3 linked regions of the Chlamydomonas reinhardtii genome follow. Each later gene encodes a partner of the first gene's protein in a complex. Links are inferred from orthologs where the notes say so. Each region holds a gene or a part of one and is shown in the gene's direction. Other genes may lie near its edges.

The links.
Region 2: CHLRE_02g142850v5 (region 1) and CHLRE_10g441950v5 share a complex: the UniProt entries of both Arabidopsis thaliana proteins name them as parts of the heptameric LSM2-LSM8 complex. The link is inferred for Chlamydomonas reinhardtii from reciprocal best matches to the Arabidopsis thaliana genes LSM8 and LSM2.
Region 3: CHLRE_02g142850v5 (region 1) and CHLRE_06g251300v5 share a complex: the UniProt entries of both Arabidopsis thaliana proteins name them as parts of the heptameric LSM2-LSM8 complex. The link is inferred for Chlamydomonas reinhardtii from reciprocal best matches to the Arabidopsis thaliana genes LSM8 and emb1644.

What each region holds. Positions count from the first base shown.
Region 1 is NC_057005.1:7,708,503-7,715,660, reverse strand, and holds CHLRE_02g142850v5 (uncharacterized protein), read left to right. Parts: upstream 1-2,868; 5' UTR 2,869-2,996; coding exon 2,997-3,036; intron 3,037-3,133; coding exon 3,134-3,174; intron 3,175-3,365; coding exon 3,366-3,440; intron 3,441-3,693; coding exon 3,694-3,749; intron 3,750-3,928; coding exon 3,929-4,019; 3' UTR 4,020-5,508; downstream 5,509-7,158. Other genes in the region: CHLRE_02g142800v5 (uncharacterized protein), read right to left, coding at 162-242, 466-510, 763-840, 966-1,148; CHLRE_02g142852v5 (uncharacterized protein), read right to left, coding at 2,096-2,281; CHLRE_02g142900v5 (uncharacterized protein), read right to left, coding at 5,758-7,092. UniProt on the Arabidopsis thaliana protein: Component of the nuclear LSM2-LSM8 complex which is involved splicing nuclear mRNAs. LSM2-LSM8 binds directly to the U6 small nuclear RNAs (snRNAs).
Region 2 is NC_057013.1:3,152,000-3,158,612, reverse strand, and holds CHLRE_10g441950v5 (uncharacterized protein), read left to right. Parts: upstream 1-3,257; 5' UTR 3,258-3,395; coding exon 3,396-3,437; intron 3,438-3,532; coding exon 3,533-3,652; intron 3,653-4,199; coding exon 4,200-4,250; intron 4,251-4,515; coding exon 4,516-4,584; 3' UTR 4,585-5,083; downstream 5,084-6,613. Other genes in the region: CHLRE_10g442000v5 (uncharacterized protein), read right to left, coding at 1-133, 353-970, 1,162-1,388, 1,804-1,976, 2,170-2,234, 2,374-2,522, 2,703-2,770, 2,860-3,026; CHLRE_10g441900v5 (uncharacterized protein), read right to left, coding at 5,108-5,341, 5,540-5,692, 5,816-5,918, 6,100-6,384. UniProt on the Arabidopsis thaliana protein: Component of LSM protein complexes, which are involved in RNA processing. Component of the cytoplasmic LSM1-LSM7 complex which is involved in mRNA degradation by promoting decapping and leading to accurate 5'-3' mRNA decay.
Region 3 is NC_057009.1:318,564-325,558, reverse strand, and holds CHLRE_06g251300v5 (uncharacterized protein), read left to right. Parts: upstream 1-2,694; 5' UTR 2,695-2,948; coding exon 2,949-2,993; intron 2,994-3,072; coding exon 3,073-3,171; intron 3,172-3,447; coding exon 3,448-3,525; intron 3,526-3,777; coding exon 3,778-3,817; intron 3,818-4,102; coding exon 4,103-4,222; intron 4,223-4,506; coding exon 4,507-4,529; 3' UTR 4,530-5,264; downstream 5,265-6,995. Other genes in the region: CHLRE_06g251350v5 (uncharacterized protein), read right to left, coding at 1-67, 204-342, 427-485. UniProt on the Arabidopsis thaliana protein: Component of LSM protein complexes, which are involved in RNA processing. Component of the cytoplasmic LSM1-LSM7 complex which is involved in mRNA degradation by promoting decapping and leading to accurate 5'-3' mRNA decay.

The sequences.
Region 1 (7,158 bases):
CAGCCCACGCGGGCAAGCAGCAGCACGCGGGATGCGGGGGCTGTGCATGCCGCATGCGGCCCACCGCCAGCGCCCGGTCCCCCACCTCGCCACCGCCTTCCCAACGCATGTTTGCCCCGCCCGCCCTTCCCAGCCCGCCCCCTCTTGACACGCCCGCTCACCCGCAGCATGTTGGACAGGTCGGGGTTCTCGTCCACGTCGATCTTCACCACCTTGACACGCCCGTCCATCTCCTCCGCCACCTGCAGGGCCGTGTAGGTGTGTGTGTGTGTGTGTGTGTGTGTGTGTGCACGTGTGTTGGCAGGTGTGTGCGCGCACACAGTGCTATGGTGGCTGCTGCCTACACGGTTGCCGGTACCTAGCGCTGACTGCCCAGCACACAGGATGACTGCCACGCACACACAACCCCCTTACCCCCACGCACACACAGCCGCCCCCATACACAGCCCCCAGACACAAACGCACCTGCTCCAGCTCACGCGCCAGCAGCAGGCAGGGGCCGCACCACGTCTGCGCACCAGTCAGAAGACATCAAGACAAGCACGGCACGTTTGAGGGTGGGCACGGCGCAAGGCGGCGCTGGCGCGTGCAAACGCTGCATCAGCACGCGGCCGAGGGGCGGAGCGATCGTGCGACGATCCCCGCCCTGCACCACCCGCCGACAACCCCCCGCCCTACAACGCCGGATGTGGGCCGCTGGCGCCGGAGGGAGCAAGCACAACGCTCCGTCGCCACTACCCGCCCGCCGCCCCCCGCACGCACCGCAAAGAAGTCGACAATTAGAGTTGTATCGCGAGAGGCGATGGCAACCTCCAGCTGCTCGCCCGAGATCTTCTCCACCTGCAAACGCCAGGGCGCAAGTTACGTCGCGACGATCGGCCCGCTGGGTCACATGGGACCGCCGCGCTGTGCAACCAAGCCCGATACCCACACACAAGCTACCCGGTCACGGTTCGTGCTCTCGCCTTTCCATGGCTAATGACGCTCCGGCGACACGTCACGCCCGGAGCTCCGCGCTGCGACACCGGCGACGCCACCGGCACACGGGCAGCCACCACGGGCTTCGGCAGGCTGCCGAGAGCAACAGCTTTGCGTCCTTGCCGAGCAGAGAGGGTCGCCCGGCTCGAGGTTTGGCTGAGGGTGTGCATCGTGTGTCGGAGCGGCTGAATTCTTTGACGGAAAAGATTAGGAATCAATTCGTAACTTTAACCAAGAGGAATTGAGCTGGTACGTATGAACAGAAGGCTCTGCAAATGGTTGCAGCGAAAAGCTGGATTGCGACCGGCTCAGACTGGCTCATTCGCCGTGAAGCCTGTGATAACGGACGCAGATAGCATGTATTGTGTGGTGGAGGCAAACGTACAGAACACGGTGGGGGGTGTGGATGGCGGTCTGGGTGGCGGAGAACTGCAGGCGGGAACGTAGCGTGCCGCCGTCAAGCCCGCGCCACACGCGAGCAAGCAAAGCACCAAAGCATAACGCTCATACGGACATTGCATGCGCCCTAATAAGAATGCAATGTAGACTCGTAGCGCTTGTGCACGCGCAGCACCCGCCGGCCTCAGATGCCTGCACGCGGGCACGGAATGCCCGACCGCCTGACCTGCCTGAAGTTGCGCATAACAGCCAAAGCAAGTCCTTGCTAGCCCGTTGGCACAGCACGCAATCACGCGCTTTCAAGATGCAGGCCGTGTGGTACATGAGTTCCGCATGCTGTGACAGGAACATCAAGGCAAACACCATGAACATGCACGAGTAAGCCGGTGGTAGTGACTGAAGTTGTCAGGCCTTGCAAGAGGCCCTTGGGCAAGCATACATAGGTGGGCGCTTATGGGCCCTCTCACATAACATTTCTCACGTGCCTGCAGTGCGGCACCTCAAACTATCACGGCATGTGCTGCCGCACCGAATGCGCCGCATCACTTGGGTGCACCAGACCGCCTTGCACGGCCACGCCGCAAGCCTGCGCCCCGCCGCCCCTGTCCCCCCCCCCTGCTGCACCAACATGCCTGGCTACAGCTTGCCGCGCCATTGCAACTGCCACTGCCACAGCCACTGCGGTTGTGCGTGCGACTTCCTCCTTCTCCTCAAGCCGCTAGCCGCCACGCGAGCGCGCTGCTGACGCACAGGCTGCTCCCAAGGGGCAGCAATCACCGGGTCCTGCCGCCAGCACGCCGCTGGTGCGCGGAAGGCGGTGCCAAGGCGGTGCGAAGGCGGTGATGCCGATGCCTTCTGAGGTGCTGGCGGCAGCCTTTCCCCCCAAGTGCGTGCCAGCCCCCATCCCGCACCTGCAGCCGACACATGAGGTAGCACACACGGTCTTCCCGCAGCCCTGTCCTGCCGCCGCAACGGACGGACTGCAGTGCGTTGGGTGTGCCGCTGATGCCGGCCGCCGCCATGCGAAATTCGGCGCGACACGCAGCGCCCGCACCGGTGTGCCGGACAGCCCTCCAGCCTGCAAGTTTCCATCGGCCACCTCCACTCACATGCCGTGCCTCTGCCAGCGTCTGAGCTGTCCCTAGTAGGATACACTCAGAGGCGGGTTGCGGGCTAATGAAGGGGGGTTGGCCCCGCTGTGAAGCCCCACGGTGTGTTTCCCCCTGCTACTCCTCTGCGCATACACGGTAACATGTCAACTGTTCAAAGGTGTGAGAGCGGCAGCAGGTGGCAGGGCTCCATATTGCAAAAGAGTTTCGAGAATTCGTGCCGGCCCGAGGACCCCGGTGTCTTCGTTTCCTTGATAAGCATTTAAATGCGCCATACTTATGATATGGATTCTTTCGTGGCCCTACAACTATCCTATTTGGGGCAGAATGGGTTTCCACATTGCTCCATGCTGCTCTCTCACCGTTCCTGTGACATGTCGACGTGCTGTGCAGTACATGCAAGCAGTGTTTTAGGGCCACGTTGAATCATATCTCTGTCGCCGATCAAAGCTTGCAGGTTGTGCACACCGAACGCGGGCCGGACCGATCTGACTAGTATTTCTTAATTCAATGTCAGGCAACGACACAAAACTTACAGACCTGGTTGGATGTAAGTACCCGCACGCCCCAGGCAGCTCCAAATTGCGCGCGCATCTTGCGCAACTAGCTCAGTTCTCCCGCTAACCCCAATAAACCTATGCATGCAGCTCAAGTCACCGTCATCACGAATGACGGCAAGCACTACGTGGTGAGTGGAGGAGCGCTGCCGGTGCCCCACAGGAGTCACCTGGACAGGAGGCGGCACGCCGGGGCGCGCGGCGCGCTGCTCCTGCTGCCCAGCGGGGATGTCGGGTGATTGACGTGTAATCGCCATGCTCTGGACGGGCTGCTGTCATGATGCGGTGCTCACCTGGGCTGGCGCATTGTGTGGACCCGCAGGGAGTGCTGCGCGGGTACGACCAGACCTGGAACCTGCTGTTGCAAGAGTGCCAAGAACGGGTGTATTCCGCAAAGGTGCGGACCCGGCGCCGGCAGGCAGGAGGCGGGACGTCTGGGAGGGCGCGTGACAGCCGGGGTACACTCCGCCCAGCTCGCTGGGGGAGGCGTGTATTTGTGCATGCGGGGACAGGCGTGTGGTACTTCGGCTGCCTCGGTGTATGCGGCGGCGTACCACACAGCATGTGTCCTGCGGCGTCCTGACATGCAGCCAGGGACCTGACCCCGAGACCCTGCCGTGCTCCGCCTTGCTTGGCTGCGTGCTTTGCAGTCTGGTGTACAAGTCATCCAGAACCCCGGGATATACTGCATCCGAGGAGACAACGTGTAAGTCGACCCGGGTGGGAGGGGCGCACGGCGCGTGCTACCTGCCCTGCGGCACGGCCTTGAGAGCCGGAACTCCTCTGTTTCGATGTTAGCCGTCATCTATAAATCCAGTACACGCCGCACCTGACAATTTGCCGTGTTGCCGCGCCACCCACGTCCTTCCTCTGTGTTGTGCACAGCGCGATAGTGGGCGAGGTGGATGAGGAGGCGGACGGCGCAGTGGACCTCTCAGCCATCCGGGCGGCGCCGCTGGTGCCCATCCGCCACTGAGCGCCATCCCGGCTGGGTCGGGCGGGTGGGCGGCCCGCGGGCTCATGGTCCAGCGGGCGCCGCGCGCGAGGGTGGGCCGGGCTGGGCCGGCGAGGGGCAGGAGCAGGAGCGGGATGACTCAGGAGTTTTAGGGCAGGAGGCATATGGGAAAGCCGAGCGGAGCATGAGACGACGTGAGGACGACAGGAGCTTTGGAGGAAGGGAGCAGCCGTGTGTGGCTGCCAGCGCCCGGTGGCGGCACGGCAGCCGTGTCAGCCGTGTCAGCCGTGTCAGCCGGAGCCGGCGGCAGTAGCAGCGGCATTTCGACACGGCAGACGCAGGCGCGGGGGCAGGGGCAGCGGGGGCCCTTCACAGGACGGCCGTCGTGCGGGCTGGATTGGCGGGCGGTGGAGTAACATGTGGCACCAGCCCTGCCCGCGTCCTGGGTCGGCACCCGACAGCTGTCAGCCAGGCTGTCAACCGCGGCCGTCCTGCCGCAGCCGCAACAGCTGCCGCCGGATGCAGCCGCACAGCCCCCTGCAGCCAGCTGCGTTGAGTTGGGCTGGGTTGGACACGGCGCTGCACGCGGTCAGGCCGGGGGCCGTTCGCCTCACACCGCCACACCTGGTGCCGTCAGTGGGTGAACATGCCTCATTGGAGACAGCAGCCCAGGTGGCTCCAGGCAGCGGACATGCGGAGGCCTTGGTGGCGCCCTGCGCAGGCAGGCACACGAACGGGCAGGACGGCGGGCGGCCGAGCGAGCAGGCGGACGGGGGCGCTGTGGCTGTGGCTCGACACCCTGCCTACCCACGCCCCGCTGCGGAGCTGCCGGCAGGCGGTGGCGTGGGTTGGGCCACAGGGGGGGGCTGGGGGTGCGCCGCCGCGTGGGACCCGGAGCGCACCGCCGGCGCGGGCGTGGCGTGCGGTGCTTTCCACACTTGGCATTTGGTCAGTGCCGTACATTGGCGGCTCGTGGAGGACTAGGGCCTGGAAAGTGCACAACGGGGTTACTGGTGGCGTTGGCTTTGATGGTGAAAGTCTGTCGGCTTCCTCGCCCCTTCTTGCAACGGATCGAGGAAGCCGTCGTGGGGCATGCGGTGCCGCTGCACACAGGGCGAAGGGCACAGACACGGGCGGACTGCCTGATTGCAGTTTTGGGAGCGATGAGCTGCCTGGGTCCTTTGGGCTGACTGGCTGCATTGGGGTAGGTGGTCGGTCTTTCCGGACTGATGTACAGGAGTGCGGGTGCAGGGTGTGGGGCTGTGGGCCGCTCGCCGGAGGTGCAGAGCTTGTGTGTGGGGGGTTTCGGGATGTGCGGGACGGCGAGCTGAGGCCTGTACGACGCAGAGACTCCCTCTCCCCCAGGTGTTGCGCGCGTGTGTAAAACATCTGAAGCCCGCCGGACGGCCCGCGTGTGTGTGGCTGCTGCATGGTAAGGTTGGGGGCGGCGGATGGAGGATCAGTCAGGATCAGTATGGTGTCCTCCGTGGATGTGTAAAAGGTGCCGGTAGCAAAGGCAACCAGCGTACCAGTAGCCCTGTAGCCCAGTACGAAGCAGCAGTAGCGAAATGGCGAAGCCAAAGAACAGTGGCCAGCGAACTCGACTATCCCGTCCTGACTTCCACTTCGGCGTGCGCTTGCATATCGACGACTTGCCCACTGCCTCGCCGCCCTCACGCCACTGCCGCATGAGAGCTGCGTGTGGTGTTGGACTACAAGTCCCGCGGTTCCGCCCACACACTGCCCTCGCTCCCGTTCGTTAGTCCCCCAGCACATGCCAGCGCACACAGCTCTGCAGGCGCCGCACTGCCGCCAGCGATCCGCCCGCCCCCGCCCCCACTCCCGCTGCTGCTGTCAGGTCCGCCCGCAGCGCCGCCGCCGTGTCTGCCAGCCGCGGCAGCAGCGCTGCCTCGTGCGCACCCCCGGCAGTGCCGCAGTGCGGGCAGCGCGGGTGCCAGCAGGCCTCAGCCGCCGCCAACACCGCGGTCGGCCCCTCTGGCGGCACTGCATACGGCTCCGCCGCGGCGCCGCTGCCAGCCCCCGCCCCCGTTCCGGTCTCGCCGTCAGCGCTCACCCCCGCATTGATAGCACTGCCGTCCCTCCCTGCCACCGCCGCCGCCGCGCCCGCCGCCGCCGCCGCCTCCAGCAGCCCCTGCAACACCCCCAGCTCGTACAACACCTCCGTACTGCAGCAGCCGTACACCAGCGCCAGCGCCGCCACACTCTCAACCGCCATGGCGGCACCACCAGCCGCCAGCTCAGCTACGGCGGCGCCGCGTTCCGCTACCGCCGCCGACCCAGTTACTGACGCCGCCGCCACCGCCGCCGCGGCCGCCAGGACGTCGGCCGCCGCCGTGGCGGCTGCGTGCAGTCCCGCCCCCAGCAGGCGGCTGGTGCAGGGCAGCACACGCCGCCGGGCCTCCGCTGCGCCCGCCAGCCGCCGCCAGCCAGTGCGCGCCGCCTCCGCCACTTCCACCGCGGCTGCCGGCGCCGCCGCGCCGCCGCCGCTGCCGGGCTGCAACGCGGCCAAGGCTCGGCCCAGCTCGGCATGCCCCGCCCCCTCTAGCTGCGCCGCCTCCGCCAGTGCCGCCGCCGCCTGCGCCTCCTCGCCCGGCGCGATGAAGCGGCCGCAGCCGGTGCAGGCGCACCTGCCGCCGGCACCAGCACCAGCACCAGCACCAGCAGCGCTGCTGGCGCGGGCGGCGGTGGCATCCGGCTGTGCGCCTGAGGGCACCGACTCGGCGGCGCCTGCAGCTGCTGCTGCATCGCACAGGAGCACAGCCGCCAGGTCGGGGTTTGCGGGCAGGGCGGCGGAGGGCAGGCGGGCGCCCGGCGCGCTACTGCCGTTGCTGCTGCGACTGCCGTCGATGCTGTTGCCGCCGCTGCTGCTGCTACTGCCAGCTGCCGGTAGCAGCAGCCTGGTGGCAGGTGTGGTGAAGGCGGCGCTGGCGCACCGCGGACACGCCAGGCCCCACACCGCCGCTTCCAGACACCTACTGCTACTGCCACCGCCACTGCTGCTACTGCCAATATTGCTGCTGCTGCAATTGCCGTCGCCGCAGGCGGTGCAGGCGCATTGGAAGGCGTACTGGTCCTGTGTGGGCGCAGGGGCGGCTGGCCGTCAGGCCTAGCGGGAGAAGAGAAGGGGCCCGAGCACGGG
Region 2 (6,613 bases), on another chromosome or scaffold:
CCTGCCCCAGTCCCCCGCTGGCGGCCTTCTTCGCCACCTTGGCGCACGCCATGCCCAGCATCTCGCCCAGCCGCCCGAACTCAGGGCTGGAGGCGGGCATCACCTCCACCGCCATCAGCCACAGCTCCGCAGCCTGAAGGAACCAGCCAGCGCCGGGGTGGGGTGGGGAGGCGGTCGCGTAAGAGGCGGTACAGGCGCATGGCCCTCGCGCGCACACAACTGACCGGTGCCTCTAATTCTAGGCACACAATGCCAACGCACGCGAGTAACAGTTCCGGTACCTGCCCATGCCCCGAAACGCGACTGGCTGACACCACCGCGACGATTCCACATTCCACACCTCAAAACGCACCTGGTCTGGCTGCGTGGCCTGCAGCGCCGACTTGAGCACCGGCAGCAGCTGCTCCTCCTCCCGGCCCGCCGCCGCCGCCTGCTCCAGCTGCAGCCGCCGCCGCCACATGGCCACGTCAGCGGGGAAGCGCTCACAGCCCTTGCGCGCCGCCTTGAGCGCCATCTTGGGCTGCCCCACCCGCCCCGCCCACTCCGCCCACGTCAGGTAGGTGTCCGTCGTGCTGTGCCCCTCGCTGTGCGCCCGCTGCAGCAGCCCAAACAGCCGCGCCGCCACGCCCACCGCCGCCGCCACCGCCGCCTCCGCGCCCGGCCCCGCGCCCGCCTCCATCAGCTGCTCCAGGGTGCCGCACAGGAAGCCCGCGAACAACTGGTGCATGCACGGCCCGGGCAGCGCTGTGAGAGCCGCCTCGTACACTTGGCAAGCCGCGGCGTGCGCGTCCGCGTCCCACGGCCCCGCTGGTCCCGACTCGCTGTCGCCCTCGGCACCGCCTGCCTGCAGCTGGCGCTCCGCCGCGTCCGCCTCCGCCTCCTCGGTCTGCTCCGCCGCCGCCGGGCCTCCCGTGCGGCTGGCGGGAAAGTCCACCTTGCGCCGCGCCAGCAGGTCCCAGGCCTCCTCCGACTGCGACCGCAACGCAACGTAACGGCTTGACATTGATGTGCGCGTGCGTGCCTGACTATCGGTTCCAGCCACCAGGTTGTCCACAATTGCCCCACAGCCGCGCCTGCAGATCAGCCAAAGACACCAACCCCCACCGGCGCCTCCCCCTCCCCCTCCCTCTCCCCCTCCTCCTCCGCCGCCGCCCCACCCACCTGCCCAAAGTCCTTCTGGATGCTGTCGTACACCTGGTCCAGCAGCCCCTCCACGAAGCCGTACTCAAAGCGCCGCAGCACGTCCAGGAAGCGGCTGCGGAAGCCCAGGCGGGCCGGCAGCGCCGCCACCGCGTTCTTGAACACGATGCGCGCCACGCCGCCCTGCATCACCGCCCGCACCGCCGCCGCGGAAGGCGCACCGGGCGTGCCCGCCTCGCCGCTCACGTCTGCGGCGCGGGAGAGTCAAGACGGATCGGGTGCCGAGGGTGTTACCGGCTGTGTTCACACGCGATGGGGAGTGCGCTTGCTGGTGCGCCGCCCCGCCTGCCCCGTCCCCTGCCTGCCCGAGCGCCTCCCGCTCCGCAGTGGGCGGTGTCGTGGCGGCTGTGCCGACCAGCTGGCAACCCAGTCAGCAACCGCGTGCCCCCTAAGGCTGTCATGGGCTGCGTCCTTCGTGTTTCTGATGATGGTGAGGCCTGTCACTCCAGGGTGCCCCTCCCTGGCGCCGCGCTTCGTCCGCTGGAGTCTGAAATCCAAACGATGCACTCCCTCGCCTGATGTATCAATCTGTTCTCCATGGCCAGGTACTCCCCACCCCCTTCCATGCAACCTGCCCCACACCCCTCATTTTCCCGCGCTCACCCGCCGCCAGGTCGTCCAGACCCAGCACCTTGCGCCGCACGCGCAGCTTGAGCGCGTACAGCAGCTCCAGAGTGTAGTACTGCAGCCACATGTCCTCATCCGCCTTGCACATGCGCAGGCCCTGCTGCATCAGGCTGCGCGCCGCCGCCATGTCGTTGTTGGTGTCGAACTCCCTATGAGGAAGATTGGGTGGTGGTGGTGGTGGTGGTGGGGCGTGACAGGTTCTAGGTTTAAGCACGCTTCACAGTACCCAGACAAGGCGGGAGATGACACCGGGCAGAGGGGCAACACATGACGGGCCGCTGTTGTGCGAGGCAGAGCTTGTGCGGACGTCGCCGGGCTGTTGGCGGCATGCCCGCTACCCACCAGCGCGCTGCCTCAATCCACAGTGCAGAGACCGTGGAATGCCGAGAGAGCGCCTTGGTGATGACCTGCAAGTGGGCACGTGTTCATGGCTGAGCACGGCTTGTTCTGAATGGCTAGCCCGGCCTTCCGGGCCCTGGCCCGCATCCTTTTCACAGGCGCGCAAATCACCCGGACCGAACATGCGCGCAAACTGCTTCAGCACACCTTGGACAGCTGCTTTATGCTCTTGTACCGCTTGCAGACCTCAATCCACCGCAGCCACAGGCTCAGGTCGCTGCGGAACTTGCGCCCAGCGCGCTCGAAGATGAAGTGGATGCGCCGCACGATCGCCACCTCCGCCAGACCCTTCTTCCCTGCAGAGCACAGCACATGCGCCCCCTCAAGTCTGTTCGGCAGAGGAACTCCTGAAGCTCCCAAATAGTTGTCACCTAAGGCAACTTTAATACGCCCGCGGGCGTGGACGGTACTTTCGGACTGTGCGCGTGCCGAAACCCAGAACCCCGTGCAGAACCCCGCCTCCCCGCTTCTCGCACCTTTGATGTGCTTCTTCGCCTTCCGCGCCTGTCGCAGCTCCTCCAGCTTCATTTCGAAGTCGACGTACCTAATTTTATAACCAGATGCCAGCCAATTGGCGCCTATTCAAGGAAAGACCGGCGGCGCATGCACGGTCGGCGCTCACTCGAGACGCACCTGTAATAGTCCTCCTTGAGCGCCGCTCTCCGTTTTAGAAGGTACTCAAAGTTTTGTCGCTTCTGGACTATTTTCTTAACCTCCGCGCGCGTAAAATAGCCTTTTTGCTCTAGGTCCTCCAGCTCCGGAATCATTTGTTCCATTAGGTATTGTACCGTGTCCGCCATGGCTGCAAATTGTTCTTACACCAACGGGCGACTCAGCGCCAAAGACAGTTAGCCGGCGACAGGTTTTTCACGCGTTGCTTTGCCCGTCAGCTAAATCCAAAGGTTTTAAGAGTGTAGACACTGCTTAAACATTGAATCGTGGCGTTTGGAGAGGGTTTCGTGTCAGCTGGGATTGGGCTGCATCGGTGCTGCCTAAAATCCTCTCGCCCTTCGCTGTCCTTCAGGTGCATCCTATCTACTAGTCTCTCCACTGCCTCGTTCTGTATCTGTTAGCGGCCTGTCCTTTGCCGGTTCAGATTGCTGCGTTCAGCGCTGTGCTTTCGGAGCTCTAGATCATAGCACTGGTGTTGAAGCTTAAGTAGCAGTACCATGTTATTCTTCTCACTGTTCAAGACGTTGGTGGGCAAGGAGGTGCGCGCCATGCGGACTAGCCTAAGGACTCTGTGCACTGCGGCAGCGCTTGCCGCAGCAGGATAGCTGACTGGTGGCATTCTGGAACTGCTCAGGTGACGGTGGAGCTCAAGAATGACTTGTGTATTAGCGGCGCGCTGCACAGCGTGGACCAGTACCTGAACATTAAGCTCACCAACACGCGCGTGCACAACGAGCAGAAGTACCCGCACATGGTGAGGCTGGCGCAGTCGGGGGCGATCAACGTTGCCGGGGGAACCAAGTTGAGGTCAGGGGGAAAGGCGCTAGCGGCAGAGGCAGGGTGAGGTGGATGAGAACACGTGCTGGGTACTTCGGTTGGTGCGCGGCGTGGCGGGTAGCGACTCAGAAGCATGAATCAGCAGGGCCGAGCGCGGTTAAACTGGCAGCCACGACAGGTGATGGCGGCTGATGGCAGAGAGGGTATAGATGTCCACAGGTTGCCTTGGCGTCCTCTTGACAAGGCCGGGCGTAACAGCGTGGCGTAACAGTGACAGTCGGGGAATGTTGTGAACCGTATCTTGGGGCAGCACACTGGTACAGCGAGTCGGCCTGGAGGTCTTTTATGGTGGCCCCGGGGTGAGGCGTGGATGGAAGTTGGGGCCTTTATTATATTGATGCTGTTACAGCCGGGAATTCCTGGTGTAACACTCTGGGCTGGTGAGAGCCCATTGCGGGCATGCGGCGCTGGCAAATGATGTCGACTCCTTCACATTCAGTTGCTCCCTTTCCCCATCCTTGCAGATGTCTGTGCGCAACTGCTTCATTCGTGGCTCCGTCGTGCGTTACGTCCACGTGAGTGGGGTGGCATGACAAAGGAAACGTTGCACATCACGCGGCATGGTGCTGACGCTGTTGCTGCCCTGCTCATGAAAGCAAGTGGCCTAGCGTGCCGCACATTTGCACAAATGTTACAGAAGCATATGTGCTTGGCCATTAGGGCGCATTCACCACGCCTACCGCTTAGCACCTGGAGCGGGAATCACTCCACAATTCCACACACACAATCGTGTACGTGTTCCTAAGCTACCCACACACCCTGACTGCCTTGCTCTTACAGCTACCACCCGGGGCCGTGGACGTGGAGGTGCTTCACGACGCCACGCGGCGCGAGGCTCGCGGTGGTTAAAAACAAGTGCAGCTTTGTAACGTTGGATGCCGCTAGGGTGGCCTCGGGTTTAGGCCACAGCCACATGCTGTGTGCCTTATGCCCTAGGACATAATGACTTCTGACGGACTGACGCAAGTGGTGACAGGACTCAATAGTTGCCTGCGCGAGTGCCATTGTGGCACGCCCACAATATGACGGTACACAAGCAGTACTTAACGCGCGTTGCCGACGGCGCAAGCGCAGCTGGCGTTGAGGGAAGCTCATGCGTCAGCTTTCGGGGCGGCGGCTCCCCCGCCCCAGCTGGATTTGAGTAGGAGCTGGTTTTTGATATCTGTGTTGGCTCGTTGGAGCTCGGCCACTTCCCGCTTGAGTGATTGGATGCTGGCCTTGCACGTCTGGATTTCCTGCTCAGCGGCCTGGCAGCGCGCCTCGGCCTGTTAGGGTTGGTGACGCATGGCGACAGTGGTGCTCAGGAACGAGCAACGACATGAAAGCAGAAACCACCAGTCTAGAGGGGCGTGCACTTGCGGCTCCCGGTATTTTAGTAGTACCGTGCTGTGGAGCTGCATGCGCGGATGGGTGATGCGGTCGGAGTGTGATGCCCAGTATCTGGATGGGCAGTAACGAGGAAGATACGGTAGTGCCCAAGTTTGGGGCAGCGCGCCCTCACCTGTAAGGCCTTGCTCTCCTCCATGTTGAGCTGGTCCTGCAGTTCCTTGCGCACGGCGCTGGCGTCCTCCATGGCACGAGCGCGCGCCTGCTGCACCGCCGTGGCCTGCGTGTCCAGGCAAAGGGAGCGCAGCGTTGACCACGGAGCGGGTAGATCGCATTTGTTACAAGAGGGTTGTAAGGGTCGAAGAACGCCACTGGTCGCATCGCACGCAGGGGGCTCTGCAAGGCTGCAACAGCAAACACCGAAGGATGGAACCCAACTACGTCCTGTCAGCCAGCCACGCCACACCGCGCCACGCACCATGCGCTCGTCCACCACCGCCAGCTCCGCCTTCATGTGCACGTTATCATACAGTGACGCCAGCGCGTCGTCCAGCGCCACGTCGTACTCTTGCTTGATGCGCAGCAGCAGCGAGCGGTACGTTGTGAAGCTGTGCAGGAAGGCGTCAAACACCTGTGCGACAGCGCAAGGGGTGGTGGCATGTGCAGTGAGCGGCGCCCAGCGGTGGCGATTGCGCGCGTCAACGGCAGCGCTTGACTAGGACACGCCCTGTGCTCCTATCACATGGAGCCGCACCTGTCGGAATGCGTCCGTGCGCAGCTGTGCCGCCGCGAAGCCCTTGTTGCCGTTGCCCAGCCGCTCCACCAGGCCCAGCTTCTCCTCCAACAAAGCCTCAAGCCTGCGTCACGTGCAAATGAGTGCCAGCTTGTTGAGCGACGACGGCCGAGCACAGGCACCGAAGCTACAGCTCAAGCCTCGCACAGTACACGCCCCATGGACTTCATGGAGATTTGAGAGGTTCCAGCGCACTGCACTGACGCCCCTACATGCTACTTGCATGCTCTTCAAGGTGGGCTTACCGCTGCAGCAGCTTTGGCGTTCGCCCAGCGTCGTCTTCATCACCCCCAATGGGCTCGTTCGAGTATGTTGGCCGCAAGGACAGCAGGCCATTCTTTTGCCGGAAGAGGTCCGGCAGCGTCACCCTGCTCTCATCATTGCTGCTTTGGTATACCCGGGTGGGTGACAGGTCCTTGTACAGCTTGCTCGCAGATATTGACTCCTGCAGGTTCGCCCTCACGCGGGAGGAGGGCGACCCTACGTTGCGAGGGCTGGCGCTCCCTTGCAGCGCCGACACCGGCAGCGTGCTGTGGGGGTACGAGGGTAAGGGCGATGGCAGGAGAGGTGAGGTTCCAGCCATACAAATGGGTTGCCGCTCAAACACCACAGCTGACAAGGCCACGTGATGACACTCGTCAAGGACACAACCGCACAATGCGATGGATGTGCGTGCGTGCTGTGTGGATGTTCTCCACTTCCCACGCCCAGTCAAGCCCTCTGAACATGGCACTTGCTTTCGCAGCTCCGCACGCCTAA
Region 3 (6,995 bases), on another chromosome or scaffold:
CCCCGTCTGGCGAGCAGGCCAGGCAGGTGAGCGCCTCGGCCGCGAAGGAGCGCTGAAGCACTTGCTCCTGGGGGCGGGGTGGGGTGTGGAAGGCAGGGGGGGAGGGGACGATTAGGAGCGGGGGCGAAGAGGCTGCAGTGGCATCCCACCGGGTCCGACGCTATGAACAGGAGTCCAAGAGGCGTGAATCCCGCATTGCTCACTCTGTGCCAGGACCAGAAGTGCAACGCGTGCTTGTGCGTTTGCGCCGCCACGATGTAGTCGTTTCCGAGCGTGGCAAGCCCGTTCCGGGATGACCCGTTACCTTTATATGCAGATACTTGTGAGCCGGTCACAGGGTCGCTGCATGCAGTGAGAAAACGGCATTTTGCACGCGGAAGGCCAAACGCCGAGGGGTCAAGACAAAGAAACACGCCGGCTGCTCACCACGCAATTATAAGACCATCTGCATTTGCATTTGCTATCAATATCAGAGAGTCTTGCATCCTTCTGGTGCAGCCGTCGCGAGTCGTCAGTAAGAAATGTCAATCCTTGAGCTGGCGGTGCTAGGTGACCACTTAGGTGCAATAAATGTGTCACGGTTGATAGTAAACTTCATCAGCAAGTCAGTATAATCCGACATGTCACTACCCGGGCACTAACCCATCGGGCCCTCGGCCTCACCGAGTCTGCGCCTTCTCCTGCTTCGCCGTCTTGGCCACCTTCTTGGCCTCCTCCCACGGCAGAGCGCTAATGCTGCGCCCGCCGCCTTCTTGGCTGCTGCCGCCGCGATGGGAAACGGAACATCAGCATGCATGTACCTTACCCCGCCTCGCATAATTCCGCCGCGCGCCGCCACTCGTCGCCGCCTGGACTTTGGTCATGTGGACTCGCATTTTGCGCTACTGACGGGTTTCCTCCAGTGCGGCCTGCTAGCTGTGACACACTATACCGACACCGTGCAAGTTCGTCTTCTTAAAACACACTCAGCAACAGGAAAGCCAGCCGGTCCGCTTTGCAGCGGCCGTGGCGCTCCTGCACGCGGGATGGGAGGCGGCGGCGCGTGCCGTCGGGCCGTCGGGCTGGTACATGGCACCCCTGTTACCGTACCGGATGCAGCGAAGTCTACTCAGCAGTTTTTGTGGGGCCTGAGATGGGCGCAGCCAGCGGGGGCTGCGGGGCCGCCCATCATGATTCAGCTGTACCGTGCGCAGGCGGGCACGTTGCTGCAGCTTGGTCCCTAGCTTGCTGCGCTGTCTGCAAAGCGCTTGCAATCTGTGCATAAAAAGGGAAATGCAAGTGGGAACCGCAATAAGGAGGCCTTTGGTGTGTTGCTAATGCGTGTTGGGCCTTCCCTATGAATGCGTGTTCGCGCGCGGCAGGGCGACCATTGAAATGCGTAAATGCGAATAAAAGTAGCCAGTCCCGCCGTGTCGTGCGTGTGGTGCCGACATGGGGGACGGGGACCGACGCCACTATTTCTGGGATTGTATCGTGGCCCGTACGTTGTGGGAGCATGTGGGCGCATGGACATGGGTACGTTGCCTGATTACACCCTCAAAGTATTCGACCGTGCGGCGTTGTGGTTGGTTCAAGTGCCGCCAGCGTTGGGCCACCTGGGACGTAGTGTCAGCCTGGGGGTCGCGGTACTTTAGGGTACTTTGCAATTCTGGGGGCGGTCACAGACATGCGCCACGTGTAGGGTTTCCTCGCGCTGATGGGATGTGGTGCCTGGTGGCCACCCATCCTCGCGCGTGGGACGGGTCATTGTATGCTGCTTGTGGTACCTGACGTAAATGCTGCCCCGCCGCCCCCCGCCCCCGCCCTCCATCGCTGGAGGGCGACTGTGTCGCCCGACCTCTGGCTGGTTGTGCCTTTCTGCATGGTCCTGTGCGGAAGAGTGTTCTGGGTTGGACCCTTTTTTTCCTGGATTTTCAGGGCCTGGCGGCCGCGGCTGCGGCACAGGACCGGCAGCGGCGGAGGCAGCGGCCCTGCGCCCAGCAGTGGCGGCGTGCATGCGTGCAACATAGAGGGCAGGCAAGGCCACGCACGTGGAGGCGAGCGCGGCGCCGCCCGAGAAGCGGTGCCGGCGCGCAGGTTGAGATTGCCGGTGTCTGGTTTGCGGTCTTTGCTGGCGAACATAGCGTGGCACGGCGTGTGACGGGATTCATTACTGATTGGTTTTGTTGCCGGCTGTGCTTGTGCTTGACAGTGGGACGCGGCTGGACACATGGCGGGCGGTGCCTGTATAAACCGAGCCCGGCTTCGGGAAATTTGCTGAATGTGATGCGTCAAGCGTGCAGCGTGATGCATGTGAACAAACGTGTTGTCCCCCCAAGAGGCAATGCTGACTCTGAGCAGCATCCTCCCTGGAGCGATGGACGCCGTTCTCCGCGGCAGGTCGCTATTTGATGCGAGTGAGGGACTGAGGGGTTTGGTATCAGGCAGGGGGAAACGTGTTCAGCACGAGGGGCAGACACCTCCCTTGCTTGCCTGTACCGCAGGGGTGCTCTGCCGCTACCCTCGCTTACGAGCTGGCCACAGCGCACATCCCTTTCATTATGCGGGTGTGCAGCAGAAATTCATCCATGGGCAGGGCCGAAGGTCATCACGACATAATAGGCACGCCCAGGCGCGCCCTATGCCCCCCCCGACCTGCCCCGACCTGCCCCTCTGTGTGCCTGATGCAAGCACGGAAAGCAAATCCTCTGGAGACCGGCTGTGGCACCCCAAAGCTTTAAACACCCACAGTATATAAAACTGCGTTGTACAGCTTCTCTGAAACACAAAGCCAACTCGCGCGACTCAAAAATTGCTTGGCGACTGACTACATTAAACCAAGTCAAACCCCACACGTCCAGGCTCCTGGTAGCTTGTAAGGAATCATCTATTCCATCCTCACAAGACGCGCGTAGTGCTTGGGTTCGGGGCGCATCGTGCGCAGGATCTCGGGTGCTGCTCTCGGAGCCATGCTGCCCCTTTCGTTGCTAAAGACGGCTCAGCGCCATGGGGTGGTGAGTAATATCTGGACTCAGGACCTTGCCACCTGCGCGAGCTGCTGACCATGCGGGCCAACTTCGGTCCTTCTCGCAGCTTGTGGAGTTAAAAAATGGAGAGACGTACAACGGTTATCTCCAGCACTGCGACACATGGATGAACCTGCACCTGTCGGAGGTCATTTGCACGTCCAAGGTGGGTTTGCAGGGCTCCGGACGGCGGCCCCGGGGCAACCAGGCCACCCCGCGCCGCTGTGCGCCACGCCGCTGTGGACCCACAAGCTCCATATGGGCTTGTTACCGGCGGCAGGACCATTCTGGCGGCCTGGAGATCCAATGCAGCATAAGGGCGCCTGCACGCAGGCAGCGGGAGGGGCGGCGGAGAGTTGCGGTCGGAGGCGCAACGCCCGTGTGGAGCTTGCCGTATCCGGCTGAGTTCTATTGATACTGGCACATATGCGCGCGTACACAGGATGGGCAGCGGTTCTTTAAGATGCCCGAGGCCTACATCCGTGGCAACACCATCAAGTACATCAGCGTGCCCGAGGAGGTGAGGCGGGGTGGGTTGTCTTCACCACACCGTAAGCCTGCACTTGTGACGGTGTGCTAAGGGGCCGAGTTAAGGAGGGCAACTTGGGGGGATGATGGGGCGTGGGCTCGTGAACGTGGGCTTGAGGACAGGTGCACGTGTGCGCCGTGCAGTGGTGCCCTGCCGCAGATGGTGGCGCAACCGACTGCCGTATACCCGTGCTTTGCACTGGCCTGCTGTTAACCACCACTTGTATCCCGGCGGGTGTGGCAGGTGGTGGACAAGGTACAGGAGGAGAACTTGAGACGCGACGGTGAGGACCTGGGCAAAGGGGGACACGCTTTACAGGGAAGGGGCCCAAGGGGCAAGCGCTGGGCACTGGGTAGGGCGGGGTGGCGCGGGGCGGGGCGAGGCGGGGCGGGGCGGGGCGGCCCGGCGGGGTGTGGGGCCGGCGTGCCCTCCAGTACAGTCCAGTACAGGGCATGGTTCTCATGGTGCCACGGGGCAGTCTGCCTGCCGGCAGCTCCAGCTGTGGCTGCAGCACTTGTACCGCACCTGCACTGACTCGCCCACCATGTGTCGGTTGCGCTCACCTCAGAGAAGCGGCCCACAGTGGCCGGCCGCGGTCGTGGCGGCCGCAGCTGGTCGGGAGGCCGCGGCGAGGGCGGTGGGGGCCGCGGCGAGGGCGGCGGCCGTGGCCGTGGCGAGGCAGGACGCGGTGAGTTGGTTGTAGGGGTGCGGGCTGGTGCGAACTGCCATGGATCTGGATCAGCCATGTTATGGCATCAGGCACGTCTGGATGCAGCCGTGGCCTGGCGTGCCAGCCTGCGCGCCACCCCAAGGCGTTGGCCCACCTTCCTTTGCGGCAACACCTGCGCTCCCTGGGATTTGGCATGGCTCGTGTGTGTGGATACATGAGGACGCGGTGCTGGTGGTCTGGCTTAGGTGGCATACGCGCACTGCATCAAGAGCTGACCGCCCGGATACGGTGTGGTGCCGCAGGGCGTGGGCGCGGGCGCAGCTGAGCAGCGCGGCAGCGGACTGCTGTCCCGAAGGCCGTGGACGTGGTGGCGGACTCGGGCGGAAGCGAAGCGACTGCGGCGCCGGCGAGCCCGGCGCGGGGGCGGGCGTCAGCACGCGGGGCAGACAATGGAACGTGATTTGTTTGCATGGCTGCTTGCCGGCACCGGATTGTGAATGGTGATTGAGAGCTGAGGTGGTAGTAGCCAGCCTTGCTTGCCGCTATCCATGTGCGGTATGCATGTAAGTGCGGCGTGGGGCGGCCAGCTCCCTAATGATGGGGAGGTCGTGGGGGCGCCGCGGGCCAGCAGGGCATGTCTGGGGTCTGTGGCTCCGCCCACGCGGGCTGACTGGCTTGACTGGATTGTGGGGCCTGGATTGTGGGGAGGCTGTGGGTTGCCCAGCGCTGGCCGAGCAAACTGTACGTCGTTGCGGGGTGTTGTTATCGCACCGCGGTCACCGCTCTGGTGGACGCCCTGGCAAACGTAATGAAGAGCCAGATCGAAGTGTGTGGGCTACGTCTTAGATACAGAGGCATTGCGGCTGGTGCACGAGCGGGCTAGTCACGGCCAGTCACGCACGTAGGGCCGTAGGGGGCAACTTGGATAGTGAAGTTGCCCCTGCAGGTTGGCTTGGCCAGTGTGGGTCCTGGCCTTCTGGGCCCCACCCAAACGGGCATGTGTGTACATGTGCCCGCACAGCAGCGCCAGACAGCGCATTCCCTGTAACCACTCTAAGACGAAGGGCATTACATGAAGCATACAGCTGCATGTTTACGGAATCGGAAAGGCTGGAGACGTAGCAGCAAACGCTGGCGCAGCGATTCTACGACACCCGCGAGGCCGAATGGCTGACGGCACATAGCAGGGTGTTGCGTTGTGTCGCATGCGGGCGGCGGTAGCATGACGGGGCCATCACGGGGCGAGGGGAGGATTGCTGGGCTTCCTCCCGCCTGCCTGCGTCCCCTTGCGCTACGTGTGTAAATGGCATGTAGCAAAGCCTCAGGATGCACCGGCGGCTTGGTCTGACAGGCCTGGCCGCCCCTCACGGCTCCGGCACGACGGGAGCGCATGGACTGCCGCCAGCCCGCCAGTGCCACCAAAGAGGCACAGTGGCCAAGTGGTCAAATTGTCGTTCTGTTGACGGGCCCGGCACCCGTGCATCTGCCCCAAAACTGCCAGGGCGTGCTTTTACACCTCTTGTGACCCTCAGAGCATGCCCGGAGCACGCTGGCTGCGCATGCCGCACTGGGCGCGGGCGCGGATGTGGGCATGCCGACGTGTTCGGCGCGTCCGCATCTCGTTGGGATGCGCACCCCTACTACTCAGGTTGCCCTCTACAGGTCGCCTGTACGTGCCTGGCCGTGACTTGCCCGCTCGTGCACTAGCCACAATGTGGGCATCTGTATCTAAGACGTAGCCCATCACACGCTTCGGTCTGGCTCTTCATTATGTTTGCCAGGGCGTCCACCTGAGCGGTGACCGAGGTGCGATCACATCACCCCGCAACGACGTACAAAGGGGGGGGGGGAACTGTGCGCGTTCAGTGGTAGATGGGAGACAGGACGGACAGTCCATGCAGATACGTTGAAGGGGACAGTTGGGTAGAATTAGGCGATGCGGGCGCCATTAAAGACAGATGAGCCCGTGTAGCCTATTGTGGCCACTAACGGTATTTGCTGCGCGCCACGTGAGTTGGCGCCTGCTCCTTGTGACTAGTTCTTGTGACTAGTTCTTGTGACTGCTCCTTGGAACTGCTCCTTGAGACTGCTCCTTGAGACTGCTCCATGAGACTGCTCCTCGAGGCTGCTCCTTGAGACTGCTCCATGAGACTGCTTCTTGAGACTGCTCCATGAGACTGCTCCATGAGACTGCTCCTTGAGACCGCTCCTTGAGACTGCTCCTTGAGGCGGTGGGTCCGTAGGGAATTGCGACTTAGGCAGTGCTGGCCAGGGGATGGGACCAGGCAATGGCGGATGCAGGCGGTAGCGACTGATAGCAGTGGTGGAGGCAGCTGGCAGCGGGCTTGCTTGCCGCCACATGTGTTGCCGTACGGCGGAGCGCCAGGGCCAGCCCATCGAGGCCGGGGCATGTGTGCACAGGTGTCCGCCCAGCAGGACATACCCTGTAAACAGCCAGACACACGCTGTACTTGAATTGAGTACGGTATGGGTGAAGATGAACGAGAGGTGGGGGCCTGCGCTTCCGCGAAGCAGGGGGACCGACGCCCAACGAGTAGGGATGGCCTGGCTGGCAAGGGCCCAGCGTGCATGAGAGCAAGCTCTGCATGTCATGTCAGGGAGCACATGAGCGTGAGGAGCGACCGGGCACACTGCATACGGTACGTGCCACTATCAGGCCGAGGCGCAAGCACCATACCGTCCATGCTGCACGGCAGCGCACCGCATGGTGCTCGGATGCCAGCACAGCGCTCACATGCATGCATGCAGTAATGGGCCATGCGTGGCGTCT